Alligator mississippiensis: one gene and its partners. The protein of the gene in region 3 purifies or fractionates together with the protein of the main gene of each other region. This does not show direct contact. Links are inferred from orthologs where the notes say so. Each region holds a gene or a part of one and is shown on either strand. Other genes may lie near its edges.

The links.
Region 1: the proteins of SLC39A12 (region 3) and NAT14 purify together in Homo sapiens (co-immunoprecipitation; 3 studies listed by BioGRID and IntAct, counting the BioPlex papers as one, with this or other methods). This does not show direct contact. The link is inferred for Alligator mississippiensis from reciprocal best matches to the Homo sapiens genes SLC39A12 and NAT14.
Region 2: the proteins of SLC39A12 (region 3) and ABHD12 purify together in Homo sapiens (co-immunoprecipitation; 3 studies listed by BioGRID and IntAct, counting the BioPlex papers as one, with this or other methods). This does not show direct contact. The link is inferred for Alligator mississippiensis from reciprocal best matches to the Homo sapiens genes SLC39A12 and ABHD12.

What each region holds. Positions count from the first base shown.
Region 1 is NC_081828.1:84,025,388-84,034,983, reverse strand, and holds NAT14 (probable N-acetyltransferase 14), read left to right. Parts: upstream 1-4,897; 5' UTR 4,898-4,966; intron 4,967-4,973; exon of another isoform or gene 4,974-5,020; intron 5,021-5,160; 5' UTR 5,161-5,179; coding exon 5,180-5,260; intron 5,261-6,598; coding exon 6,599-7,144; 3' UTR 7,145-7,873; downstream 7,874-9,596. Other genes in the region: ZNF628 (zinc finger protein 628), read left to right, coding at 344-3,451. UniProt on the Homo sapiens protein: Probable acetyltransferase. May act as a transcription factor that regulates the expression of coproporphyrinogen oxidase by binding to a promoter regulatory element.
Region 2 is NC_081824.1:234,391,043-234,401,172, forward strand, and holds the start of ABHD12 (lysophosphatidylserine lipase ABHD12), read right to left. Parts: upstream 4,514-10,130; 5' UTR 4,400-4,513; coding exon 4,248-4,399; intron 1-4,247.
Region 3 is NC_081828.1:182,240,251-182,250,011, forward strand, and holds the start of SLC39A12 (zinc transporter ZIP12), read left to right. Parts: upstream 1-6,071; 5' UTR 6,072-6,145; coding exon 6,146-6,403; intron 6,404-9,659; coding exon 9,660-9,761. UniProt on the Homo sapiens protein: Uniporter that promotes Zn(2+) import from the extracellular space to the cytoplasm across the cell membrane. The transport activity is temperature dependent. May play a role in neurulation and neurite extension.

The DNA of each region.
Region 1 (9,596 bases), about 98 Mb from region 3:
AGCCTATGCAGTGAGCAGCAGGATGCGCCTGAGCTCAGCTGGGGAGACCTGGGGCAGATGGGAGGGTCACCAACTGGCATCCCTACACATGTTTTTGCTCACCCCCTGAGATCTGCAAGAGTCCCAGCAGCCCATGCAAACAGCACGGCTCATAATGAGATGAATGACCATTATTTTCTCTATTCTCCTGGGTCAGCCTGGAGTCACCTGTGACTGAAGTGGGGTTCAGCTCCCCCAGGGTAAATCTGGGGTCCCCTTGGCCCGGCTTAGAGTGGCCGTATGGCCTGGCTTGGGGTTAGCTCTGCGCTGACTTGTGTTCTGTTCTGCTGCAGGTACAGGTGAGATGGTGGGAGCCCAGCGGCTCGAGATGGCAGAGATGCAGCCAGCCCCACTGCCGCAGCCAGGTGCCAGTGAGCACCAGTATGAGTGTCTGGAGTGTGGCAAGGTCTTCAAGTGGTCATCGCGGCTCATTCACCACCAGCGTACGCACACTGGGGAGCGCCCCTACAAGTGCTCGGAGTGCCCCAAGGCCTTCAAGGGTTCCTCAGCACTGCTCTACCACCAGCGCAGCCACACTGGGGAGCGCCCCTACAAGTGCACTGACTGTGGCAAGGCCTTCAAGCGCTCCTCACTGCTGCAGATCCACCAGAGCGTGCACACCGGTCTGCGCTCCTTCAAATGCACCCTTTGCGGTATGGCCTTCAAGTGGTCCTCACATTACCAGTACCATGTGCGCCAGCATACAGGTGAGCGCCCGTATAAGTGCACCACATGCGAGAAGGCCTTCAAAAACTCATCCAGCCTGCGGCGTCACCGCAACATCCACACAGGCGAGCGCCCCTATGTCTGCACAGCGTGCGGCAAAGCCTTCACCCAGTCCACCAACCTGCGGCAGCACCAGCGCATTCACACAGGTGAGCGCCCCTACAAGTGTGCTGACTGCACCAAGACCTTCACCCATTCTTCCAATCTCCTACTGCACCAACGCACCCATGCCAGCAGCCGGGCCCACAAGTGCCAGGCTTGTGGCAAGGCTTTTGTCTCGGAGACCTACCTCCAGAAGCACCTGCAGACGCATGCGGCTAAGGCACCGACCGCTTACGGTGAGGCCGAGCTGGCCTGTGCACCAACTGAGCTGTTTTTGGCTGCTGCCGCAGAGGCAGTAGAAACTGTGGAGATGCTATGGAAGTGTGGGGACTGTGAACTGACCTTCAAAAGTGAGGAACTGCTGTTGGGCCACCAGCAGAGCCACCTGGAGGCGGCCCCGCCTCTGCCAGCTGAGGAGCTGCCTGTTGCACCACTCTACACCTGCCCCACCTGTGGCAAGGCCTTCAAAAATGGGTCAGGGCTGTCACGGCACCAGCACAGCCACACTGGTGAGCGACCCTACAAGTGCTCCATCTGTGAGAAGACCTTTGTGCAGCTCTCCAACCTTCTGGCACACCAGCGCACACACCCTGCTGAGCAGCAGCTCATTCAGGCTGAGGCTGAGGTCACCTGCCCTCAGTCAGCAACTGAGCCTTCCCCAACTCCGGCCCCTGTTCTGGCCCCAGCCCCTGCTGAGGCAGCTGAGCGCCCCTACAAGTGCACAGAGTGTGGCAAGGCCTTCAAAGGCTCATCAGGGCTGCGCTACCACCTGCGAGACCACACTGGGGAGCGCCCCTACAAGTGCTTGGAGTGCCCCAAGGCCTTCAAGCGCTCTTCACTGTTGTCTATCCACCAGCGTGTGCACACTGGTTTGCGTGCCTTCAAGTGTGCTGAGTGCGGCCTCACCTTCAAGTGGTCATCGCATTACCAGTACCACCTACGCCTGCACACAGGTGAGCGCCCCTACAGCTGTACCGACTGCGGCAAGGCCTTCAAGAACACTTCCTGCCTGCGGCGCCACCGCCAGCTGCATACTGGTGAGCGCCCCTTCACCTGCCTTGTCTGTGGCAAGGCCTTCACACAGACCTCCAACTTGCGGCAGCATCAGCGTACTCACACAGGTGAGCGTCCCTACACCTGCCAGCAGTGTGGCAAGACCTTCACCCACTCCTCCAACCTGCAGCTGCACCAGCGAACTCATTCTAGTGAGCGCCCCTTCAAGTGCCCTGTCTGTGCCAAGGGTTTCGTCATGGCCTCTTACCTGCAGCGCCACCTCCGCACGCACGCTACCGAGGCAGGTACCCCTGAGGCCAAGAGTGAGATGCCAGCCCAGGGCCTTCCACTCACACCCAGCACCCAGGAGGTGCACATTGTGCCCAACCTGCAGGCCACCCTCAATCTAGAGGTGGCTAGCCCACCCAGTGCCCCTAACTCCCAGACCTTCCTGCTGGTGCAGACAGCACAGGGCTTGCAGCTGATCCCCAGCATCCAGCAGAGCCCCCAGAAGCTGATCCTCCTGCCCAGCCCGCAGATGGTGTCCCCACACCAGAAAGTGCCCATTCTTCAGAGTACCCCCAACATCACCCTGATGCCCAGCAGCCCCACAGTTCCCAGCAAGCCACCCCCCCGCCGGCAGGGCAAGGCCAAGAAGCAGGCTGCCCCCAGTAACCCCAACCCACCACAGCCTGGCCAGAACATCATTCTGGTGCCAGCCAGCGGGCAGGCACTGCCTAGCATGCAGATCCAGACTTTGCCAGGATCTCAGCGGGTGCCAGGGCTCCAGACCGGGCAGAATGTTATTGTGCTGCAGAACATGCCTGAGCAGCCCTCTGCTGAGGTAACTAATGTCCAAGTCCAGGGCTTGCCACAGCCCCCTGAGGTGACTGGCATCCCAGCCTTGTCGCAGCCTCAGGACGTGACCAGCATCCAGATCCAGGCCCTGCAGCAGAGCTCCCTGGAGGCAGAGGAGGCTCAAACTCTTCCCAGCTCCCATGAACTGTCCAGTGCCCAGCTCCCTGCAGATGCTGGGCAAGAGATGGCAGACCTGCCAGAGGGCCAGGACCTGATTGTGGTGCAGAGCGCACAGAGTGATGACTTGCTGGGGCCAGGGACTGAAGTGAGTGGCCTAGAAGGGGTGCAGGATGTGCACCTGGAGATGCTGCAGACGGCTGAGGGACTGCAGAACGTCTTGGTACTGCGTGGTGCTGATGGGGAGCAGACCCGCTTCTGTGTGCAGGAAGTGGAGAACCTACCAGAGCTGCCCCCAGAGAGCGGATCAGGGGCCCTGACGGCTCCTGGGGGGCAGAAGCTCTTCATCATCCGCAGCACTCCCAGTGAGCAGACCCTGCAGGTCCTGGAGAACGTGTCAGGTCTGCAGGCACTGCCAGGACTCCCAGGCCCCAATGTGGGACAGCTCCCCCTGCAGGCACGGGGGGTGCCCAACAGCCCAGGGAGTGGCCAGCCCTCCTCTGGCAACACCCAGATGGTACAGCTGCTGCCAAGCCCAGTGCCACCTCCCCAGGAGCTGCAGTCCATCCAAATAGTGCAGACAGTGCCCAGTGTGCAGCTGGTTCATACCTTCTGAGTCCCATGCACCTGGCCTTGCAGGTGCCTGCCTTGCCCTGCTGGCCAGTACTGTGCCAGCGCATGTTGAACTTGGGGTGAATGTCCCCTCCTCTACTGTCATGCCATGTACTACAGACACTGTCCAGCTGGCTGCAGCAGAGGGCTCTGGGTTGCCTGATGAGCGCAGGCAGCCCCTGACTGCCTTTCCAACCTTGGCTGTAGCCTTCCAAGGCATAGGGCTGGTAGGACCTGACATCCATGTCATCAGAGCTGAGTCAGTTCTAGCTGGGCGTGGGATTGTGTAGCTGGGCTCCAGTTGCAAGGCGCTGTTTGCCTGTCCCTGAGCAGAGGTGCAGTGGGAGCTGGCCTGAGTGCTTCCCTAGCCTTGTCTAGCTGGACTCCAGTTGCAAGGCGCTGTTTGCCTGTCCCTGAGCAGAGGTGCAATGGGAGCTGGCCAGAGTGTTTCTCTAGCCTCTGCTCACTTCTAGTGTTTGAGCCTCTTCCAGGGCTGGGAGGAGAGTGGGGTCCAGAGGTCCAGAGCAGGCTACCTCAGGAACCAGGACTCCTAGGTTGTGTCTTGGCTCTGCAGGGGAGGAGTGAGTGGGTAGTAGGTTTGCCCAGGATTCCTGGGTTCTTTTCCTGACTGTCTGCCTTGCTAGGCCACCTTAGCTAAGTCTCTTCTTAGCTGCAGGAGGGGCCAGTGCTGTGAGGCTGCATGTGTACACGCAAACATGCTTTTCTCTTGGGGGAGGGGCCTGGGTGGGCACAGCTCTGCCTGCTGATCTGTGGAAACCCATTGCTCTCCCAGGCAGGAGATGGCATTGTGGCACAAGGGAGCAAGTGCAATGGTCTCCCAAGCCATTAGGCACCACTTCCCTGCCACCCAGATGCTGCCCTGAGCCCCCTGGCTGGGTTGGATCCTATCTCTTCCATAGTGACACCTGGCACTGCTCCCCAAAGGACACAGCTGCTTCAGCCCAGGCGGCAAATAAAGGACTGCTTATGAAGGGTCTGTGCCTGGTTTACTCAGTTTGCCGGGAGCGAGCTGTAGTGGCCCGAAGTGGGGAGCAGGGGTGACTGGAACAGAGGGCTGCCGGGAAAGGGCTGGGCTGAACTGCCCACCGGGAGGAGGAGGGATCCCCTCGGGGAGCAGCCTCTCTACCTGCCCCGTTCGGGGCGCGGCGGGCAGCCGGCGGGGTGGCGCCCCGCACAGCCAACCCGGCCTCGGGCAGGCGCCAAGCTCCCAGGCAGGGCCGGGTCGGGGCAGGGATCCCGGCTCAGCCGCAGGGGAGGCGGGTGGAGGGCAGGGTTGGTGGTTGTGAGGCTACCGGCGTACCCCCTCCACGCTCGCTGACTGCAGCGCCCTAGCCCGGCTCCGAGCAGCTGGGCCGCAGCACACGCTCAGCGCCATAGTGCGGGTGCCCCTCCCTGGTGCTAGAACAGCGGAGTGTGGGCGGGGCCGGGAGGGAAGCGGCCGGTGGGCGGGCTGCGCAGGCGCAGTGGGAGCGGCCGAGTCGGCTGAGCGCCAGGGAGGGTGAGGCTGCTCGCGGGCCCCGGGCGGATCCATTCATCCGGCGCGGGGGAGGCGGTTGGTTGAGGCTCCGTTCCGCGGAGCTGCCGGCTGTACCATTGGGGGGGCGGGCCGCCGGGTCCCTCCCCTGTGCTTCGCGCGGGGGCGGCCTGGTTCGTCCGGGCTCCGGCGCTTACCTGCCCGTCCTTGCCCCGCAGGGCCCGCCTGGCTGCCACGATGCCCGTGCTGGACCTTGCCCAGCTCGCCGTGCGCAGAATGCGGGAGGAGGAGGCACCCATCGTCCTGGAGCTGCTGAAGGTCTCCCTGGGGGTGGGGGCGCTCTGGTAGCCGGTTGCTGTGTCTGGCCAAGCTCTGTCCCTGGCTCTGCCCATAGTACCTGCCCCCAACTCTCTCCCCCTCCCCCAGTAACCAGCCCACTTCGCCACCTGCTTGTCCCTGGTGCCAGGGCCCAGGCATGGGCAGAGACAGTGACCCCAAATGGAAGAGTCCATAGACCTGGATGGGGTGAGAGCCAGCAGGGCAGAGGTGGGGGCCAAGCTGGGGTGCAGGATCCAGGCCCTGTGGGGATGCCAGACACCTGCCTTGCACCGCAGCAGCAGGGAGCAAGGCAGGACCAGCCAGGCGCCCCAGGGTGGAAGCTCTTTGCCCTGTGGCTCATCTCTCAGTCTGGGCCAGAGCCAAACAAGCAAAGCAGCTGGACAGGCAGCTGCTCAGCCCCAGCCAGGGTTGCCTCCAGGACCCAGGATTTCTGCATGGTCTCCCCTCCACCTGCTAACTAGGCCCAGCACTGTTTAGCTTTTGAGTTTAGACAAGATTGGGTGCATTCAGTCAGGTACGGGCACCTCCAGTGGGGGCCTCAACCTGGAGCCTTGCTTGTATTGGTAAGCTGTGGAGACTGAGCCCTTACAGCAGTGACTCACTACCAGGGTGCTGGCACACTGTGTTAGGAGATGAGGTGTGGGGAGATAATTGGATATGGGCAGGCTCAGGCTCTCCCTGCCTGGCTGCTCCCCTGCCCACACTACTTAGTCTGCCAGCAAGGAGGTAAGTACTATAATACATGTATTAGTTTTTAAATGGGGCGCCTCTCAATTCACAGAAGTTATTGAGGGGCGCCTCAAGTCTGATGAGTGGCACCTTTAGGCTAAAAATGTTGAAAATCACTGCCTTACAAGTCATCTGCTCCAGCCCTCCAAGGCCCAGGAGTCCCCTACTCTAATCCCCTGGGTCCCCTTCCTGTCACCAAGCTAGCAGTAGAACCCAGGATTTCTGACTTCTACCCATCTCCCTAAAATCAAAGGCAGCCAAGCTTCTGCCTGTGTCTTGTGTCTTGTACTTGTGACAGAAATACTGGATTGAGGTCCTGCCTCCCTTGCCTTCCCAAACTGCCTCTGAACTCAGCAAGCTCTACTGCTGGGGGCATTTTCCTTTCCACCTAGGTGCCCCTTACTCCAGCCTGGGGTACACCCTTCAGGAAGACTCTGGCTCACCTACAGCTTTGGATTGAGCCACATTCTATGCTCTCTGGGCCTGGCGCAGCCCAGCTGGTGCCGTCACCTGTGCTGCCTGGACAGTGTGCCCCTCCCTGCCACACCATGGTCCCTGCCCATGCTCATGTTGCCCTCCCCTCCACAGGATGGCTTTAAAGACACAGAGAACCGGCTGATCCTGTATGTCCTGACACGACCCCTGGTGCTGCTGCTCATGGCTGTAGTGAGCAGCGCCCTCCGCTTCCTGCTCAACTCTTTTGTGGCTGCTCTGTTGGTGCCTGTGTTGCTCACCATTGTGGCCCTCAAGCTGCTCCTGTGGCGGTCCGCTGACCTCCACTGCCTGCATACCTACTACTGTGGGGGCCAGCGGGGCCTCTGGGTGGCGGTGTACGATGGCGATGATGTGTGTGGATGCGTGGCACTGGAGCCCTGGGACCAAGGCCCACCTCGCGCAGCAGAACTAAAGCGCCTGGCTGTCAGCCGCTGGTACCGGCGATCTGGAGTGGGCCGGCACCTGCTGGCCTTCCTGGAGGCACAGGCCCGAGAACAAGGCTATGAGCGTGTCGTGCTCTATACCTCAGTAGTCGCCAAGGCTGCCATGAACCTCTTTGAGAGCTGTGGCTACCAGGCAACTGGCGGGCGAAGCTGGCTGGGCTACACCGTTGTGCAGGAGTTCAGCAAGGAGCTGTAGCATCTGCCCCTACCCGGCGCCCTCCTGACGGTGGGGTAAGAGGGGCCAGCTGGGGCTTCTCCATCCTCCACTGCACCTCGGAGAACTTGTACAAGGGGATTCAGGGAGCATCTGTGAACAGTCCAAGGCCTCCACACTCAGAGGACAGGGGGCACCACCTTTGAATGTGTGTGCATACAAGGGCCTTTCTGAGTGTGCTTCCATGGGAGTTGGATGTCATCAGGTGGATCCTGCTATGAGGGCCCAGGCAATGTGTAATATGCTGGGGCTGATGCTGAGGCATGGAGCAAACACTAGGAAATGCTTGTTGGGAGACAGTAACCTCCTGCCAGCAAAGTCATGGCTCATGGCATGCCTAGAGAGAATGGAAGAAGCCTGTGAAGCATGGACTGGGAAGGACTGTTTCTTGTGATGTGGGCCTGGGGGCACCCCTCCTTCCCTAGGGGCTATCCCATCCCAGAACAGCCTTCTACCATGCATAGGCTTGGCTGGGACTAGGAAATGTGAATGAGGGGGTGGGCAAGGAAATGGTGCCCAAGAGTCTAATGCCCATCCCCATCGTAGCTGTGACTGAAGGTTGCTTTTGGAGACAAGGAGGCTGCACATAGGCTCCAGTAACTGCAGTGGCATCTGGCTTGGTTCTCAGAGCTGCTGAGCATTTCTGTCACCCCTAGCATTAGGCCTGTGTGTGTATTTGAACGTACGTGTGAATAAAGCGTGTTGTAGTGACTGCTTCACCTGTCTACATGCTGGGATGGGCCTGCCCTCAGTCAGCCTCCAGCTGGACAGGGATCTATGACTGTGAGGAGGCTGGGGCCCCCTTTACTCCTGACAGGGGTGGATCTGGCACACAGAGTGCCAGGGTGGCTGGTGCTTGACAGGAAATGTCTTTTCTGCCCCATCTTGTGTAGCGTTGGGGTCCGCACAGCTGCTCCCTAGAGCTGCACTGGGGTCAGCATCAGCTGCCGGTGTGCTTGTTTCCTGCCCATAGTACAGCAGCACCTCCACATGCCACAATGGGCATCAGGGCCTGCCCTGGCTGTTAAGGGAGAGCTGCACCTGTACTGAGTCATCCCCACCTCACTTCCTACAGAGCAATGCTACTTAGAGCCTCACTGGAGTCAGCATGGGCTGACAGGAGGAGTGCATCCTGCTGAATCCCCATGCTGCACCTTGTAGCCCAGCACCCTCCGAGCTCCCACACCCACTTTCTGCAGCACTTCCCCCTAATGATGTAGTGGAGCATCACAGTATTGGGGGGTGCTGCCCTGCTGCACTCAGCTCCTGGCTCCTTGTTGCACAGCACCCACTAGTGCTGCCTGGGGTTCACAGGTGCCAGCACTGCCTGCTCAGGTCCCCTGCCTACAGTGCTGGGGTACTGGGTGGGGGTGGGGGGGAGGGCAGGGAGGGGTGGAGAACACCTCATGATATGCTTCAGAGCCCCCTCTGCCTGTGCTCCAGGCCAGGCAGCTGCTGCTGGGCTGGGATGTTTAGCAATCACACCATGGGGTTGCTATGGTCACCTGAGTACTCTCCAAGCAGCTGCAGACTTTGCAGCCCACTCAGAGCTGAGAAACTGAGGGTTTGCTGGATTGTTTTAACCATACTTCTGTTGCCCTGGGGTGCAGGTAGCATTGCCTGGGCACTATGGGACTGGCAGGCTCCTTGGGGTAGCTATCTGAGTATGGCAAGGATCCATGGTGTCTGGATCAGGCCAGCTTTACAACCCACTGTGCTGCTGGCCTCTGGCCATCCTGGCCTGTGCTGAAATGACTCATTCTGTGGCTTGTTTCCTACAATCCTAGTTCCACCCATGGCCAGGCCAGCCTCAGCCTGCTTCAGACCTAGCAGTACCCCAGCTTGAGGAGGTCATGGGCCTGCACTGGCCCCCCTTACAGGACAGGCCCCCTTGGCACCAGCTCCCTTTCCATCAACAGCATGTCACTTGGGGACAGAAGTGAGGCTGGCAGCTGGAGTTGCAGGAGGAGGAACCTGGGCATGTGCAGGTGAAGAGGTGTGCATATGTATATATGAGAGAGTTGCATGTGTGCATCCGTGCATACCCGTGGAGAAGAGTATATATGGAAAGGGGAGTGTGTATACATGTCTAAGAAGCAGTGCATGCATTTGTGATGTGAGAAATGTACGTGTGTCCCCTTAGGCATGTATGTACAAACATGCTTTGTGAATGTGTCCCCAGAATGTGTGTGGAAGCAGCTGCACATGTGTACATACCACTGCATGCATGTAAGTATGTGGAACTGAATGTGAGTGGGTGTCCATATGCGTTTCTGTGGTCATGCACATACATGTTTTTTTTGCAGGGTGTGCATGCATAGATTACTTCTTGGAAGGGGAAAGGTTTGAATACAGAAGTTAGGGTTTTGTGGCTGTTTGCAGGTGTGCATGTGTGTTTCTCTGGGGTGGAGGGAGAGGAGAGTGTGTGTATCTC
Region 2 (10,130 bases), on a different chromosome or scaffold from region 3:
TGCCACAAGCTTGAGAATCACAGATAGGGAAGCAGAACATTAAAAAGCTTGCTGCTTTGCAACTGAAATGCTTAAGTCTCCTGTAGTATGTTAGTTATGCACTACATATGATTAACAAGTAAGCAAGCATGCATGGTTACCACAACAAGAGCGATATCTGATATTACCTGAATGATCAGAGAAAGAGCTTGAGCTTGTGGGATATGGAGGTTAGATAAACAGAGGGAAATTGCCAAAGCAAATCTTGCAGGGTGCCAGGAGCTGGGGGGAAGTGGGCAGAAGGGGGAGAAAGAAGGGGAAGGGCTGGACTGGGGTGCCCCAGCAAGTATCATTTGATGATATAGTGGAATAGATGGAATGGTGCATGGCACACTTCACAAGGCTGTGCAAACCATGAAATATGCTGGCCCACTGGTTCCATACTGCGTTTACTGCTTGTTATGACAGACTCTGGTGCGCTGAACTCAGAGAAAAAAAAAAAAAAAAGGCAGAAATCAACTTATGCTGTCTACTGTGACTAGATGCTGCAGGAGGAAGTGTACCAAACCAACACTAAAACCCTTCAGATCCAAGGTGTGTTGACTAACTTTGTTAAAACAAGGAATTGCACAAAAGTATAACCCAAGGGCATGGAATGAGGTATCATCACAGTTATTATATAAATGGTTGCTTCATTTGCAACAACAATTAATTGTGATGCCATACAAGTTAAGAGATTAAACTTTAACAAAACCAACCTGATTTTACAATGCATGTTTTCACATACAACTTCTGTTACTTTTAATAAACCTAGCTCAAATGCATTTCCTTACAAGAACATAGTAACTGGACAGCAAAATACCATTAGCCCATTATGATTATTACTACATACAAGCCATATAATTACCCTTCTAATGCTTACTTTAATGCTGTCACCTTCAGCATAACCTACAATTGAATACAGAGATGGCAGGCAACCTCAAAGAAAAGAATAAAATAAGCAAACATCTGGAATTTAGAGCATATACCACTGTGCAAGTTTACCCCGATTAATAATGGCCAAAATGCTCACCATCATTTAGCATTTTCTGCCTGATTTTCAGAGGTGCAAAACTTTCCAAAGGTAAAAAAGGCCTGTAAAATTATGGAACACTTCTCAAAATGTTGCTGCATTTAGTTTTAAAACTTCATCTACACCCACAGAGGAATAAGTACAAATACATACATTTATTTCTTACTTTCCAAAAAGCAGCACTTACAGTACTCTTTTTTTTTTTTTAAGCAAAGAGGTAGAATAGACTTTAACCAAACTACAATCTGAAAGATGCAGACATCCACCTCCATATAAATAGGCAGAAGGCTATATTATAAAGTTAGTTAAAGTAAGTGGTTGTGCACATACATCAGTGTGATTCAGTTGTTGGACAAGTGTGCTGGAAGCACACTAAATAAAACAATGGGATAGAGGAAACAAGCCATGTAAAAATAGTTTTCAATGCTGTCAATATTATCTCCTACAAGTATTGCCTAAATTTACAAGTACTCTGTTATTTTTGTCTGTGCTGCTCCAGGATTTGAATTATGGGGGAGCCCCCTCATAAGAGACAAGAGCCCCCATGTAAGATTTGCAAATCATAAGCTGGGGGGGGGGGAGGGGGAGGGGTCTTCAATTTTATTAGGACATCATGACAGGCAGCCCAAATTTTTGTGCAGACCCCATTCCCAAAGTGCAATTCAAACCCCATGCGGCTCTGAAAAAAAAAAAAAAATGCACATGAACAATTTTCACTGTAAACAAGCAGAATGCAGCAAATCTTGCTTGAAACCACACATGGAAAAACTGCTGGTGTTTTAAAATCACCATCATGCAGCCCTGTGGTAAACATCACTGCCTTTCCAGGCTGCACATTCTGAGACCATGCGACCTGCCACATGACCAACCTTTCACTGCAGAACTGTGCAACAGCTTCCAAGCTATTTTTCTTTTAAATAATGATCTTCATTGTTTACAAAGAACAAAAAACATGAACAAATTCTAGCCCATGTATTATCACCCTGCATTTAGAGGTACAAACTGGTTTATTCTATCTGAACAGGATGTTGGCCCTCAAACCTAACGCTGACATCTTAAGAGTGATTAATTATTTCACACATATAATTAGTTTAAGAGTGATCCTACTAACACACTTTTCCTACAGTTTCAAAGTCACGCATCTTTCCAGAATCAAGAAACCTCATGCAGGCTGCTAAAACTTCCAGTTTTCTCTAACATCTTACCACCTCAACCCCTAAAATGAACCAAAATTCTTAAAGTAAACATGTATACTGTAAGTGTTACAGTTCATAGCATATTTAAGGACAGGGTCAAAATGAATACAGACATTTATGAGGATGGATATACTGGCTGCATTACTTTATAGTCATTAAAAAAAATAAATAAATAACTTCAAGCTGCTACAACTTCTAATCTGCCTCCAAGTACCCCAGATTAGGAAACTTGCAAGAAAAGTTTATTCTTGATAGCAAAAAACGGTCTTCTTGATGGCACGCATGCACACACACACACACAACCTTGGCAGTCAATCCCTAGATACCAAATACTCCTGACACCTGTGCCTTTCATGCTGACTTGTCAATTTTTGGTTCTGTGGACATCATATTTGTTATATTTATGTAAGTATACATGGTAACCACCTGCAAATCCCTAAGAAGCTGCATCTTCCAAAATCCTGTGAAGTGAATGGAAAAGTCTACCTGATCTTTGAACGGGCCATTAGATTTTCTCCATTGTATTTCTTTATCTTATTAAAAGTTGTTACCAAGTCCTCAAAATATGAAAGAAAGATAAATAAAGACAGGGAGGTACCTGTTCTCTGCAGGGAGATAGTCTTCAAATATAATTAAATTATCCTTGCCAGAGTGAAATACCTTGTAGCTGCAGTATGCTCACTAAACACATTTCTAAAAAGACGTCTGAATGCTATATGAAGTCAACAACTTAGTCTTCATTAATCCTTAAGGATCACTTCAGTATACTGTCTTTGGCAGGACTCCTGCTTCTGTATATAGCTAAAAAACCTGGATGAACTAGTTTACTTTTGTCTGAAGTCTTGCACATAATATAATAGCATGGTTTTAAAAAAATATTACTAAATTGGAAGATCTGCGAAAGCACATAAACTGTGTACTCATTCAGAAGGAAAGCACGATCATCTGAATGCCTCCTTCCATTCCCAAAAGCTTTTCTTAATGCACCAGTCTTGACAGCATCCCAAGATGACCTTTAGGTCATAAAAGTATCAGCAATTATTGCATAATAACCAATAAGTAGCATAGTCTTAAGTCTCTCTCTCTCTCATCAGCTGTATTCAAAACCACCATTTTATAAATAACCCTGCCAAATCTGCATCAGTAATGGAAAATTAGTAGACAGATTTAAGTATTTTAAAGGCAACAAATTCAGTTCTTTCCTGCTAACTGGCCAATAAAACAAGAAGCCCCGTCAACAGGCTTCCAAAGACACCATTTGAAAAGATGTCATTCTCATCCACCACTCCAGCATGCCTGCAGCTGCTGAAACTGCCAGAAATATTTTTGTAATTGGGACTTTGGAGGGAGGGGGAAGGAAAGCCAGCCAAAGACAAAACCTGCATCCTTTACACAGTTCTTGCTTCAGAGTCCTGCCTGTCATGGCCAGCCTGGCTTCCCCCACCCCCTCCCCTTCTCCTTCCCTTTTTTATTTTTGTTTTCACCCCACTTCACACACAGGAAGTCACCCTCAAAACGCACCATCCTAACAGCACAGCCTGACATACGCCCCCAGCATTAATAAATAAAATACATCCCTTCCCGGGGCCGGGCGGGCATGCTAAAGAGTCAAGGCAGAGCTGGCAGCGGCACCAAACACAACCCCCCCACCCCACACACACACCCACACACCCCTGAGTGCTGGGATAGGCCGGGGGGAAGCGGGGGTGGGGGAGACCAGTTGCACTTGGAGGCAGGTGGCTTTTGTGCTATGCAAAACACATAAATGAATAAAACATGAACTAAAAAAGATGAGTAAATAAATAAAATGACTAAATAAGCGAATGGATCACTAAAGAGCTGCATGCGCGCAGCAGGGGGCACGGCAGGGAACCCGGCCCCTCCTCCCGCCGTATCGAACCCTGACGCAGCCCCCGCCTCGAATCCCGCTGCGTCATCAACACCCCCCCCCCCCGGCCGCTGGCCCGGCCGCCCCTCCCCCGCCGCCCCGGGGGTCTCACCTGCCGAGCGGCCGCTTCATACCCGCGTCTCGGGCGGGGCCGCCAGGCAGGCGCAGGCTGTGCCTCAGGCTGCAGCCGGCAGCCGGGGGCGGTGGCGGGGCGGCAGCGAGGCGCTCATGCTCCACCGTCACGGACTCGTTCCGTTTTCTCATCCCGCGGACGGCGGCAGCGCCCGGCTCGAGCCGGCAGCTCTGAAGGCAACCGGCGCTCCGCTACATTGCGCCCGCAGCGGCTCGGCCGCTGACAGGCCCTGTGCAGCCTGGCCAATCAGGGGCGGCCGGGAGGCCACGTGATTCCCCCCCCCCCCAGCTGTGCTGCGGCTTCAAGCCAAAGGGAAGGGGAAGGGGAAGGGGGCGTGGTTCCGCTTGCCCGTACCAAAGATGGCGGCTGAGCTCCTCCTTCCGCCACCACCTTGAGTACGGGCAAGCCAAAGAAGTGTGGGTGGTCGTCCCCTCCGCGCTTTTCCTCCCTGGTTGCCATCTTAAGGACGGGCAAGGGAGTACGACCTCCTGAGAGGGAGGCCATCTTGAGTGAGGGTGAAGCAAAATCTAAGTAAGGCATGTTCCCTAAGCTAGTGTTTCTTAACCAGTGGGTCGCCACCCAAAAGTGTGTCGCAAGAATGTATGAAAGGGTTGCAAACAAACTTTAAAAATGGGTTCTCCTTTGAAGGAGAAAAACGTGGCTTTTCCCTTGCAGGCTGACAGAGCTCAAGCCCACAAGGGGCTGTTTGGCGTTCCCTTTGCCCCACAAATCCCGCCCTCCCCTGCCCCACATACTGGGAGTGGGGGGCTGTGGGTCAGGAGTGAGGTGTACTGGCCATTGGTATTTACAAATGGGTCCTTGTACAATAAAGTTTGAGGATCACTGGCGTAAGGCAACTGGGTGGATGGTCCCTGCCAAAGGGAGGTCAATGTTGCCAGGTGTACAATAATTATTGTATATGTACAATCATTTCAACCTTTGTAGGATGTACAATCAATAATATGTTCAAAATGTACAAGGAATAAAGGTTGTAGCCATGTTGGTCTAAAAACAAAAGCAGTCAGTGTGGTAGAGGCCATAGGCAACTGGTAGGGGGTATACGGGGGTGCACGTGCCCTCCCCATTGGGCCAGTGCACCCCCGATGGCTGACACTGATACCATTGACAGGGCCGGTGCACCCCCTGACAGGGCCGCCACCACCACTGTCAGCAGCTTCTGTGGGTGCTTGCCAGCCCCGTCCTGCTGCCAACGCCATCAGTGGCTTCTGCAGGTGCCCCCCCAGATTCAGGAGGCACCAGTCACCCAGGGTAGAGGCAATATCTTTTATTAAACCAACTAGATAATTGTGAGAGAAAAAAGTCTTTATTTGCAATTTTTTAGGCTCACGCACCCTTGCTCAGGCAAAGGAGAATGCAGAGATTGCAAAATTTCCCCCAGGTAGAAATGAAACTTCCTGTTGCACAGGAGAGCTGGAGGGTGGTATAAGTTCATAAAATGAACTTCCTCCACTTTTCTGCCCTTTGTCTTCCTAATTTCCAGTTATTTCCTTTTTCACAGACAGCCTCTTTCGTACCTTAAATTTTCACCACTATTGAGTCCCCCTTACTCACCTTTGACTTTCCTTCCCCCTGCTTTTTTCACCCCTCCCTTCCCTGCTTTACCTTTTGTTTTCCTAATTTCTACCTATTTACATTCTCACTGACATCCTGTCATACTTTCAGGTTCTCTCATTCCTTGGAGTCTCAGAACAGCAGAGATTCCCTATGCCTGAAGAAGGGTGACTGTGCTCGAAAGCTTGCTAAAATGTTTTTCCCAACTACTCAGTTGGTTTAATAAAAGATATCACATCTACTCAAAGAACCTTGCCTGCCCATGTCCTTAGACCAACACGGCTACAACCAAAAACCCAGTAAAATTAACTTATCCACCCAGGAAAACTTATATCACCCTCCAGCTCTCCTGTGCAATATGAAGTTGCATTTCTATCTGGGAAAAATTTTGCATTCTTTGCATTCTCCTTTACTTGAGGAAGGGTGCATGAGCCCAAAAGCTTGCAAATAAATATATATATTTTTTAACTATCTAGTTCAGGGGTAGGCAACCCCCAACACATGTGCCAGAGGGTGGCACCTGAAGACATTTTGCTTGGTGCATGCAAGTGGGGAAGTGGTTGAGGCTGCACTGCCACAACAAGGATCGAGCTCCTGGCAGCTCTCCCACCACCCAACCCTGGCATGCCAACATCTTACAAGTCAAGGTTGTGGGTGTTTTTGGCACTCTGCTCAAAAACCTTGCTGACCCCGGATCTAGTTGGTCTCATAAAAGATACCACCTCTACCACAATGACTGCAAAACGTGTAACAATTTTTAAGGTTGCTAATTGATGCACTATATGCAAAACGTAAGTCACTCTTAGGGTGTCTTAACTGACTTTTGGGTTTGCTGTTAGCACTTTCTTATGAATGCTTGCCTCAAAATAAAGAAATGCTTCAACTTTGATGACCCAGTTCTCACTCACTGGCAACTTACAGTGAGCAATATAAAGAAAATAATAAGAAGACTTATTTGCATATTTATTAGTATAGTTTTTCAGTGTACTATAATTTTTCAGGAAATACAAAAAAATTGAGCTTCCAATACTATCATTTCTTATTTAAGACCTGGGAACACTGGGAGGTCTCCAAGCTGTGCCCGAGCTGCTTCGCTAGGCTCGTGAGCAACACATTACCAAGAGCAGGCCTTCCCACTATCATGCCTCTTCTGAAAAGATGACAGGTCATTATTCCCGAAAGCAGGAATATCCCACCTACAGCAGGATTGCATGGCCATAGGCACTCAGTATCTCAGAGGTGGGGGCTCCCCCGCCCCCCAAAAATCCAAGCAATAAACCACACTCTCTTCACTCACAACCTTTTAAGCGTGCTATCTGGCATCTTCCCTTTTGATACCACAAATGAGCTTTTGGTTCAGGGTAAGCCTGGCCAGTTTCACTCAAAAAATGTAAATGTAAAGAGTGAATTGGCAAATGGGAATTATCTGACACTATATGAAAGAGAAAGAAAATAAAAAATCTCCCTGTAGCCTTCAGTGCAGCCTTTACTGCTCAAAAATTATAACAAAGAGAATATTCCACATGAGCAGAAGTAGTATTTCTTCTAGGCCCCTGCACAGCCATTGAGTTTCACCTTCCACCTTGTGTTGCTACAGGTTGTCTTTCCCATCAAACTTTGCCTTGATAGACTTACAACTTTGCACCTTGGTTGGTTGACATAGCTATCTGAAATATCACTGTATTTCACTGGGCCATGTACAGAGATATTTGTCACTTGATTGTGTTTCCAGCAGTTCCCAGAAGAGTTTCACATTATTACATGAAGATTCTTTTAAGTTAATTGCTTTTGGTATGCTTGGGGGGAAACACATATTTTGAAAGGTTTGCTGGCAAAATAAATTTTGTGATTTACAGTTACGCTGGACACTACATTCAGAACAAAAAGATTGGAGAGTTTAAAGAGACATGCTTTCTAATGCAAATTTGAAATAAATAATATTCTGAAACCAATCTATCTGTTAAATAAATATCTGTGTGCTTATTGCCATTTACTAAACAGAATTGTCTAAAATTAAAGCTTATCTGACCATCATATTTGAGAAGAAACTCCTAAGCAACAAATGCAGGGGTCAGTCCTTACACCCTTTCAGATCTTCGTGCCATTTGGATTTCTAGATTTATGTCATCATTGAGTTCGTCCCTACAAGGTTGCATGTACTGTAGTCCTCTGACAGTATACCAGAAATGACACTGGTACTGCCATGCCCTTAATTTAAGAGAAAAGGCAAGAAGAAATTTGTGCGCAGGAAAGTAAACCGCCACTGGTGACCAAACAGAACTCATGTGATGCAGTCTCTCATCCATCCTTTTCCATCTGGCAGCTTTTTTTCATAGTTGTAACAGAGCATTTTGATGTGGAGATAAATGCAATATAAATTTAGCATTAGACTTATTTCCAGGGATAATCAGAAAGTAGGTGGGTTAAGAAAGAGGAAGCCATTATTTCAACATAAGTCTTCAGTTCAAAAGTACATACGATACAGACAAGACATACAAAGTATTGGACAATACACTGAATTATGCTTTGTCATTTCCTTTAAAACATCTGTTAATATTAACTAATTTTAAAAATAACTCCCTATCAGACTTTAAATCCAAGATATCAGCAGAACATATCCGGAATTATTGTAAGAGTATAAAGGCCACTTGCAAAAATTACTGTTATTTTGCTAAGTGGCATTCCAGACGTTCATAACAGGCATCAGGCTGCTCATGACTTTCTGTTACTCTTAGGGATACAGAGCATGTCCTAAGGCCCATGGATTGAAGACAATATGAGAGGTAGTCAGGTCTGGATCAGGTGTGCTCTAACTCATGGGTGCAGTTTTCCAGTTTTGCAACACCAGTGCTTCATGTGGCACAGGCAGTCTCTGCGTGTGACACATGACAGATTGGGAAGGGGTCAGGCAAGACAGCAGAGCATAGGACAGGGAGCAGAAAGTGCAGCAGGAGATCAGGCAGGGAGCAAAGGAGGAGCTTGGGCAGGGAGCACAGATTAGGGAGCAGAAAGCAAAGCAGCAGATTGGGCAGAGGAAGAGGGTTGGGATGGCACTTGGGGAGGGCATCGGGCTAATTTGTGGCAAGCCTGCACAAAAGGTGGGCACCAACTGCTCTAATTCACTCAGAGTGCTAGGAGGATTGAATGAGGAAGGAACTTGAGGGCTTTAATGTGCATTATCTTATTTTAATGTACTTGAGGGCTTCAATGCGCATTATCTTACTTTAATGTGCATTAAAGCATCGCTTAAAAACCTGTGCTTTTTACTTAATGCAGATTAAAATAGGCTAATGTACATTAAGCATAATTTAAAAACCGTGTTCTTTAGTCCATGCACATTAAGCCAGGCTCATGTGCATTTTCCTAGTACCTCGTGAGGCTCCTACACACATGCACCGAGCCTGCTCCAATGCACTGTAAATCCAGTATGTTGGAGCAGACTCAGTTAATTGAGTCTGCTGGAGCCCAGAAATTGCCAGGCTCCAGCAGCCTTCCGCCTCATGTGTATCAGCATGGCCACCTGTCCCCACAGTGAAAAAATGGCAGTAGGGCGCTTTGAAATAAAACACATTTGATGAGCTTTAGTTCAAAGCACCCCTCTGCCATTTTTTCAGTGCAGGGACACATGGCAATGCTGATACACATGACACATGGGTGCTTTTAGTTAGGGCAGTTTGCTAATTAAAGCTCCTGGTGCCCTGCCATATCTGGAGCAGGTGGAAAAATGCCCCATGTTCCTAGTATCTCACAATGAAGGTAGTAGATTTAATGCGCATTAAAGCGCCTTAATGCACGTGTAGACACACCCTAGCAAGTGTACGGGAGGGGCTCAGGGAGGACAGGAGGATGCAGCCCTAGGGGGTCTATCCTGAGGAGAGAAGGGGAAGGGCAGGGCAGAGAAGGGGGCAGGGCACATGGAAGGAGGGGCTGGAGGAAGCCCAAGTGCAGATGAAGAGGGGAGAGCGAAGAGAGGGTGAGCCCCCAGAGAGCCCGTCGGGGCAGCGGGCAGGCTGTGCAGGGCTCGGAGCAGGCAGAGGAGCTCAAAGGGGCAGCGGCAGCGCGACAGGACTGATACCAGTCCCGCTCAGCACACGGAACAGAAGAGGGGGCGGGGCAGCATGGCGAGACACGCCCACTTTGGGCTCGGGGGCGGAGCCGCTCCTCGGGAAAAGCTGGGGAGCGGGGCGGCCTCCGTTCGAGCGTGGAGAAATTTGCCCCTCGCCAGTGCCTGTAGGGAAGGGGGCGTGGCCTGGGCTCTTCCACGCCTCTCATTGGCGGAACGGACCGGCG
Region 3 (9,761 bases):
GTCACCCAGCTTCCCTTCAATCATTAGGCCACTGATTAGGTTGTCCCCAGTTGGCAGTACCAGGCCGAGCAGTGCTTTACCTCTCATTAGCCCATAGACTTCTTGTGTCAGATAGAGGTCATCCACGCATGAGGGGAAGCTTTGCGACTGCTCGGATTTGACCGAGCACTCTTCCCATGAGATGTCTGGGTAGTTGAAGTCTCCCATTACAACCATAGACCAGGAGCATGAGGCCTCAACCAATTCCCTGATGAACTCCTGGTCAAGCTCTTGACTTTGGGTGGGAGGTCTGTAGTAGACTCCCAGCATTGTGTCCCCTATGCCATGTTTCCCATGGATTTTAACCCAGAGGGTCTCTAGTCGTCCACCCTGGCTGCCAATATTGTCTTGCAGGGATATGTAGCTCTCCTTGACATAGAGAGCTACACCCCCACCCCTTTTGTCCACTCAAATTCTCCTGTACAGGGTATAGCCATCTATACCCATGGTCCAGTCATGGGTGGAGTCCTACCAGGTCTCCATTATGCCTATGGCATCATAATTATTTGTGTTAAGCAGGAGGACAAGTTCCTCCTGTTTATTCCCCAAGCTCCTGGCATTCGTGTACGGGCAGGCAAGTGTCCCCTTAGGGGCCCTTGCCTTGCCTACAAATTGTTCCAGGGCTAGGGCAGGAGTGGACTCCCTTAAGTGCCTTGGCCTGCTGGCTTTGCAAGGGTTGCTCAGTGGGCCAGCAGTGCTGGTAGTCCCTCCATCCCCCAGTAGGCTTAGTTTAAAGCCCAGTGGAACAGGTCAGCCAGTCTGGCTGAGAAGAGCCTCCTCCCCAGCAGAGAGAGGTGGAGGCCATCTCCTCCCAGCAGCTTGCTGCCTCTCTCACCAAAGAGTGGACTGTGGTCATGGAAGCCAAAGTCTTCCCGATGACACCAGTGCCTCAGTCTTTGGTTCACTACCTGGATCCTCCTCTCCCTCCTCAGCCCATAGCCTATGACTGGGAGGATCGAAGAAAACGCCACCTGCACCCCTAGACCCTTTAGCACTGCTCCCAAATCCCTGTAGCACTTCATGACCCAGGTGGGAGCCTCTCAACCATGTAATTGGTGCCCACATGAATAAGGAGGATAGGGTAGTGGTCAGTGGGCTGGAGGAGCTTAGGGATCTTCTCCGCAATGTCTCAAATACAGGCTCCTGGGAAGCAGCAAACTTCCCAGGCTAAGGGGTTGGGGCGGCAGATTGCCATCTCAGTCCCCCTCAGGATGGAGTCTCCCGCGACAAACACTCTGCATTTTGTCTTGGGGAGAGCAGGGGTGGTAGCTACAGTAGACCCTGTCTTGCCTGTGGGAGCTGGCAACTCAGCAGGCCCTGCTGCAGGAGGTTTGTACCTTTTGCAAAGCTCCAGTGGGGCAGAGACCTTGGTGCAGCAGGCCTTGGGGCCCTTGACCACCTTAGTCCAAGCCCTTGGCTGGACAGAATGGGAGGTCCCCAAGTCCTCCCTTGTCCTGGAGGGAGACCGTGGTCTACCCTCCATCTCCCAGGGGAGAAGGGCCTGGCAGTAGGAGTCGATCTCCTGCTCACAGTCCCTGATGGCACGCAGTCTCTGGACTGTGGCCTGGAGCTCCTCCAGCTGGCACACCAGAGACCCCAAAATTATTAATTCATTTTAACTCATTAGGCACCCATGCACATGCAGCAAAGCTGCTCTGACATGCTGTAATTACAGTGTGTCGGAGCAGACTCAATCGAGTCTACTGGAACATGGTAATTACTGTGCTCCAGCAGACTCCAGCGTCACCTGTATCAGTGTCCCCATGCTGAAAAATGGCAGCGGGGGTGCTTTAACTAAAGTTCATTCCCTATTTTTCAGCACAGGGACGCTGATACATGCAATGCTCTGGGTGGTTTAATTACAGCAGCTCTTGGAGCCACTGTAATTAAAGTGCCCCTCCCCCCACTCACAGAGTACATGTATAAACACCATTTATAATTCTTAAAATATAACATATTGGTAAGACTGACAAGACAGGCCAATGAAGCTGAACATCTTGTGGAGGTCTTAAAGTGCTGAAATTATTTATGGAAATTAATTTATTGGCATTAATGTTATATATTACTTGAATTGTGTAGGGAATTAAATCTTTTCATATCTCAATACACTCTCTTTGGATCTAATTACATCAGACCTGCACACATCACCCTGATAACGTGTAAGAAATTTGCAGTACCACAGGTTTTTTTCTTTAATTGCTATGATTTTTTTTTAATTGCTATGATTAATCTGAGGGCTCATAGCTCATTGGCTTAGTTCATCAAAATAACTTAGTATTTAAGGAACGAGAGTTCAGTATCACTAGCGATGTTCCTCAGCAAGCTACAAGCTACCAAAGGGCTGTTGCTAAGCTGATGCATCCGTTGTCTCCCACTTTGCCTTACAAATAAAATGAAGCTGTTTGCCAAGGTGGTGGGGTTCACAGCAATGTTTTTGTTATCAAAGAGCACAGTTCCATAAAGAGTTTTACTATTCTCACATCACTTAATCATTGATATTTTAAAAAACAGCAAATTGCACAGTGCCGCTATTCATGGCATTTGTGAATGGTTGACCTGCTTTTGTTCTCCCAACAGCTGTGTAGGTGGAAGAAACAGTGAGATAAGTTGCAGTAAATTCTTACGAGCTCACTTAAGAAAAATGAGCATTCTCCTCTTCCCCAACCAAAACCATGCCCAAATCCTTAAAAAGAAGAAGGTAGCTGTATGAATTTGCCATGTTTCTTATAGTGACATTTTATATAACTGCTGTCTCTAACATTCATTAAAAATTGAAGTTCCGAACTTATTTTCTGAAGCCAAAATAGATTGGCCTAAGAACCATTTTTAACTATCTACTGATAAAATTGGATATGAATTTCAGGGCACTCCAGTTAGAAACATAAGACTGGAGTGGGCTTTCTGGGACATTGAGTCTAGTCCTCTGAATCTGCATGCAAATATTTAGCAAAGGTAAGAATTCCCCAAAACCAGCACTTGAAACCTTGCTCACAACTACTAATCACAAAACAGAAGCCCTAACAATATCCTTCTACATTATCTACTGAAATGACAGAAAGGTAATAGGTTAGTATATGCTCAGAGGACCCTAAGAAAAAGCCAATATGACCTAGGAGAAAATTTCCCTAAGTGTTCAGTACCACTCCAACTGGAATCACAAGACCCTCTTCTAAGGACCCTCAGAGTTTTCTAAGTCTGGCCAGAACACTAGCATACCTTGGTCAAAACTCACCAGCCTTACCTGGAGCTAACATTTTGCTACTTCAGAGAAAGGTGAAAACAAGAGCAACTCAAAAGAAAACAAACCAAAACAAACTACTTCCTCTTTGCTCCCATAGCTGAGCTATTCCTTTTTTCCATTTCCAATGATTCCTGTTTCTTTGCCAGCCTTAAATGTTTGGCAAACATCACCAAACTGGGTCCAAACAATTCACACAGAATCCCTCTCTCACCCCCTTTCTCAGCCTGTGTTTAGCATGGCCCCACCTTCCATGAAGCTGCCCTGCACCTTATTTGCATATTTATTTTGGACAATCCCAGGATTCATGACAAGAACACCTCTTTACAGTAATGAGTGGGGGGATAATTAGCACATGGATCCTTTGTCAGGGGTGGGTACCTGGAGTACACAAACATACCAAGCAGTGCTCAGTTATGGGGTCACCAGAGCTTGAAATGCTGCTGACTCTGGCAGGGCCCAGCCCAAAGAACTGTGGTAAATCATGCTTTTTGGCTTTGGATTAATATCATACATAGTTTGTACTACATATAAGTGGGTATGTCTACATGTGAAATTAATTTGATGCAGTAAACTCTGGTGCAGTTCATGCTGGAATGTATTGCTCCCAGGCACATGGCATTATGCCATTCCTGGGGTAGCTGTAGCAGGGCACAGAGTGTAAATTTACACAGCATGTAAATAGGTGGAAATAGAGGTTAAAGAAGGGAAGGGAGGGGTGAAACAAGGGGGAAATAATGCCAAAGGTAAATATGGGAGACTCTACTGTAGTTGAATTCTCCAAGGTAGAAAAGAGGTGGGCAAAAGAGGAGACTCAAGGCATTGAGTCTATTTAAGGAGTGCAGTCACTCAGTTTTGGGACAGAGAGAAGATGAGGGTAAAAGTGAGACCTAAGTATCAGTGGTGCAGTAACATCTGTAGAGCAGTGTGAGTGGGTAGGAAGAATGCTTTTTCCCTCCTGCTCTCCATTTTCTGCAGCAATCCCATTTGTTCAAATTTGATTCAGGCATGACATTGGAGGGGGGAGAGGGTTGAAACTCTTGTTCTGTTTTTTTGGAAGTTCATGGTCTGTTCTACATGAGCAATGTCCCTTTAAAAATGAGAGTTCTCTACAGATGTTCAAGATAATATTTCTGATTTGATTTCATATATGCAACCAGAACAAACATTTCAGTGAAAACAGAAAGACATGTTTTCATGAGATATAGAATTATGCACAGCTTTCAATAAGATCGTGAAACTATTGCAGAGTGCTTATGTGCATTATTCACCACAGGGGGATATATTGTTCAGTAGACATTATGCATCCTGCCATCTGCTGATGCTATTTAGGGAACGTTTATAAAATGATAACTACTAAAATAATTAGCTAATTCATTTAATAATGTGATGCCTAAAACTGGCCAAAAAGAACATGTACTAATTCCTATCCACCTCCATTGTTACCTTAAGAGCGGTTCTCTCCATAGCAACTGAAAACTTTTCAAGGCTGCAATAAACTAATCCTCTCCAGCTTCCAGAGCACCATCAAGGAATTTTAAAAACATCGGGCATTCCAGCAGCTAAATACTTTTGGGGATTCAAAAGGCCATAAAGCTAGAGATATTCAGTCATTCTTTTTTTTTTCTCCAGAAGGTAAGAAAATAATGTTAAAAATGGTTGTGCCCCTATAATCGTGATGCTTTCTAACCTCTTTCTAACTGCTTAGTTGAAACCAAAATTCTTTTTTAAACGTCAAAGCCTTTCTTTACATCTACTCCACAGCCAACTATTCTTTGATTGAATGCCAGTTTGTAATTCAGCAAAATTGTTAGTGCAATCTACTTAACATTCTGCTAGAATAACCTTATTATTTTTAAAAGTAATCAGACCTGTATTATTTTACAGTTAAGAGAAGATGATATTGTATATGGCTATTTAACCTATGTAGTTTATTGTTAACCAATATATGTATAGTACCCAAGAACTGCTCACCAGCAAAGGGAAAATTCATGGCTGGAAAACAAAAGTTAAAAAACTCTTTCCCCATTACTATGCTTCTCTGGCAGGATGAATTAGAGTTAAAAGAAATCTGACAGTGAGGTAGCATATGGGCAGGATAGTAGTCACTTTGACTATTTGGAATGCTCTCTTTGCATCTAGAATTTTTAAAGTGAGAATTAGTTGCCTTTTGTGTAGTTTAATTTTTTACAAGCTGTTTGAACAACATTATGATGTCTGACTTGTAACTTTCCTCTAACTATAAAGCAGTATAAATTCTGGTTACCATAAGATTTTTCTTTTTGTTTACAACTCATGTTTGTTAATGCTTCTAATGTGTTTTGAAGATGCAGACCACTATATATCATTACTAAATATCATCGTTACTGTACATTTTTATCAGAGTTATTTCATCACGCTTTATCTGTACTTAGTGTACATGAATGTTACCAGTCCTTGGGAATCTTTGTAATGGAGTAAAAGTAACGGTATTTTCTTATACTTACTAAAGAAGATTATTGTCAAATACAGTAGCATAACACTGAAATGAAAAATGACTATTTAGAAGTTTTGTGGTGGGGGAAAGGTAGTCTGATTCACCTTCTTATCCATAATTCTACAGAATTTTTAAGGCTACACTTATCTTAGTTTCCTGTTATTTCAGGCTGTAAAGTTTCTACAGACCCCCTGTTGTTCAGAAACAGCTTGTCACTGCAAATCAGCTTAGCCAACCAATTAATAAATCCTTTCAAACATATTGCAGTCACTCTAATTAAAGGGTTTTTTTTTCCTTTGCCATAGAAATTCCTCCGGTTTCAAGTCTAACTTGTGAAGTGCATACCACATTACAGCACTCAGCACAGACTTGCGCTACAGAAAGAAGAAGAAATGTGCTTTCTGACCAAGCATCCAACTTTTTGGGTGATATATTCAGTTTTCATATTCAGTACAATTACTGCAGAAGCACAGCCTAAGAAAGAGCATAAGCAGGATGGCAGCTCTGTGCTGATGGAAGTTTTACGCATTCTTTCAGCTGACAACAGCACTGAGTTCCACAAGAACCATTCACGGGAACTGATCAAAATATTGCTGGAGAGAATTGAATGTCCACAGCGGACTAATGGGATACAGGAGGACTGTAATCTGGTTAGTGCCTCAATTAATGAAGGAAACATTTAAATGAGTTCTAAAATCATTATATTAGGATGAAGCCACCTTGAATCTTGGCCCTGTAAGAAGTTCAGTCTTAAACAGAAATGAACTTCTGAAATGCTTTAATTGCAAATTATTTATATGGCTGATCTAGTCTTGTAAAAAGAAACTCCAAATATCAAGCATACTTAAAGACTTAGTATCATTTACTTCTCACATATCGGTAATAATTTTCCCCATATAATTTTCAGATATTTTTTAAACTCTTCAGTCTACAGTGAAAGCACTAGCTTGAATTTGCAACATCAAAGGCTGTTCATGGTAGGTAGAGATAAATGAACACAATGGGAATGGCTTTGTAAAGTTTTATCATTATTGTTTTCACTTGGCCCAATGCAAGGCTAGTTCATATCCACAGGCCATTTCCTCCATGCCTCTAAGGAATGGGTGAGGTCTTTATAAAACTGACAAGTCAATGGAGACCAAGAGCAATGAAACTACAAAGCTTTCCAGGCTCTGGAAATGGAAAAAAAAATGAGTATCAAAATTTTAGGACCACAGCTTTAGAGAGAACTTAGTCTCAATTTACCAGGCAACTAAGGACTGGGGGCACCTATACACATGTTGGATGTCTGCTCCAACACATCCTAATTAGGGAACGGAGGCACAGCAGCAAGCTGTGCTAGGGCAGACAGACAGGCAGCCCAGAAATAAAGAGCTGCAAACAGATGAGCTAAGCTGCAACAGGAGAAAGCAGGTTGTTCATCAGGGTCAAAATGGGAAATCCTGTGTCTGGTTGTAGAATGACCTGACAGGAAGTGGCAGGGCATGGAAGGCACATAAAGCCAGTGCCTGAAGCCAGTCAGTCAGTCTGGACTTGCAGGTAGAAAGGGGAAGAGCTGCTGAGCAAAAGGGCTACAAAAGACTGACCCACTGAGAACAGAAACAAAGAGGGCTCACTTTGGGACCCTGGGGCAGCCTCCCTTTTTATAATCCAATTTTTCCAATGAAGATGTGACAGGTAGAAAAAGAGGGAGGGTACTCAGGAAGTCTGAGTGGGCAGGAACTGTATGGCCACTTGGGCTAGGGACAGACATTACATATAAACCGGTTTAAGTGATCAGAACCTAGTTTAAACCTGTAACAGAACAGATGTTCAGTGCACATAATCCAGTTTGAAAATGGCTGAAACCAGTTTGAGATAAACCTGGTTGAATGTAGTATCAGATTTAACTGATTTGGCTCAAACCGGTTTATGCAATGTCTGTCCCAGACTCCTTGCTGCTTTAAGACAAACTAGACTCTCCCAGCATCCAGACATGTTCTCTGGGCTGGGTGCTCCCACAACAGGGCTGGCCCCTCCCCTCTGTTCCCTGGCTGCAGCTCTGACACAGGCTGTGGCCTACTCCCCCCGTTCCCCTGACCACTTGCGGCTAAGCAGGAATTCCCCCCTCTCCTCTGCCTTGCAGAGAAGTGCCTGTGTTTTAGCTAGCACACCACATGCTGGCTATGGTTCCTGCTGAATCAACAGGTAGAATCAACAGATAGCTGGTAATATCCCTCTGTTGTTTTCTTAATGGGGTAATAAACACTGAGTTAAGGGTGATAAACACTGTTATCAGTTCCCTGTTGGGCTAATTAGAGCATCCTGCTGGGGTCTGGCCATGGCCCCCCTCAGCTCAGTGCTATGGAAGGGAAGGGAGGGCTGCTCTAGCACCCCCCAGCTTCTAGCCTTAGCCACTGCAAACATGTCCCTACATACCTGGGATGTCTGCGCAGTTACAAACTAGTTCAGCCTAGCCAGGTTAAACTAACCTGCAAAGATTGAATCAATTTAAGCTCTGGCTTTTTGAATGTCTATCCCTAGCTCTGGGGGCATCATGGCTACTCTTGCAACCTCAGGCCCATTACACCTGCCCATATAGCAGTGCAGAAGCAGCTATGCTTCTCCCTGGTTAAGAAGCCCCAAACAGCACAGCATTCTGGAGGATGCTGCTACCAGGTTACTGTGTAACTATGACCTATGTTTGCCTCTGCCTATATTTCACATTGGGTATATTTGAAAGGATGGGTTGGGTTAACAAGAAGCTCTAGATTATATTCTGCCTCCCCAAAGGGAGATGTGCTGTTGGGATCCAGCTCACTGATAGAGGACAAATTTACCTGAACCTAAACTAGATGTCTAACTAACAAGACAGGGTTGAAAGAAAATGGGGAGCAAGAATTAGCCAGCTTTTGTCCAGCACATTTTCAACTTCTTAATGAAGTGCCCTAATTAGCAGGCATTGGGCTAAACTGAGCTGTGGGCTCCATCACTCCTGTTAATAATTTTCAGAAATGTAATTTCTTTTCTGGAATTTTCTTATCCATAGTTCTTCAGTCTGCCAGAGTTTCTTGGTCTTTCAGGCCTTTCAGTTTACAATGAACTTTGCCTAAGGTGACAGTGAAAGGGGCATAAGTATGGGAATAAATGGAGTCTTGCAGAGGCATTTTGTAATATTGCTGTTTCAACATATTCTACCTTCCCTGAAAGTGTAAGCCATGCCATGCAGAGAGCTTGTATAAGGCATGTGCATTATTTCACTCTTTCTCAAAACATGTTTTGAGGACTTAATCAGTGTGTAGGTCTTTTCCTGGTTCACTGCACAGGGGTGAATATTACATAACTACCTAATCGGAAAAATTCATACATATTTTTTAAAAATCCATAAAAATACAGGCCTAATTTTGCTGTCTTACAGTGATACAAAAACAGAGTAATCCTGATTCCTTTCACTTTTACTCTGATGTAACTGAGAGACAAATTTGGCTCTTTGTAGACTTAATTCTAAAAACTTAATGAATGTATGAGTGGAAGTTGTGCAGAAATTAAAGAACAGTTTGGTGCTAGTGACAGTTGTCTGCAGTGTGGGCAAGAAAGCTTGTTTAAGTCCATGGGGATCCTTGAGCTGGCTCCAGTGGCCATTGGATCAGCCTTAAATGGGGATAAGGCTTTAGGCACTGGTCCCATTACTCCCAGGTAGAGAGGGTTATAGAACAGAATATGGCAGGTGGGTAGCTGCTTCTAATATTGCACAATTTTACTTTTTTGCCTACTGATCATAATTTTACCACACAGTTCTGCATTGGTGCAGACTAAAGACTAGGCCTTTAATAATAAATCTGAGCTCCCCTCTTCTCTAATCCTAGGTATAGGAGATTAATAATGATGTTATTTAAACCTAATTTCCATTTCTTTAATAATTCACAGTGCCTTGAACCAGATGCTTTGTTATTAATAGCTGGAGGAGATTTAGAGGACCATCTCAGTGAAGAAGTGTTCCAGAGAATTTCTCTCATTCTTCTCTACTAT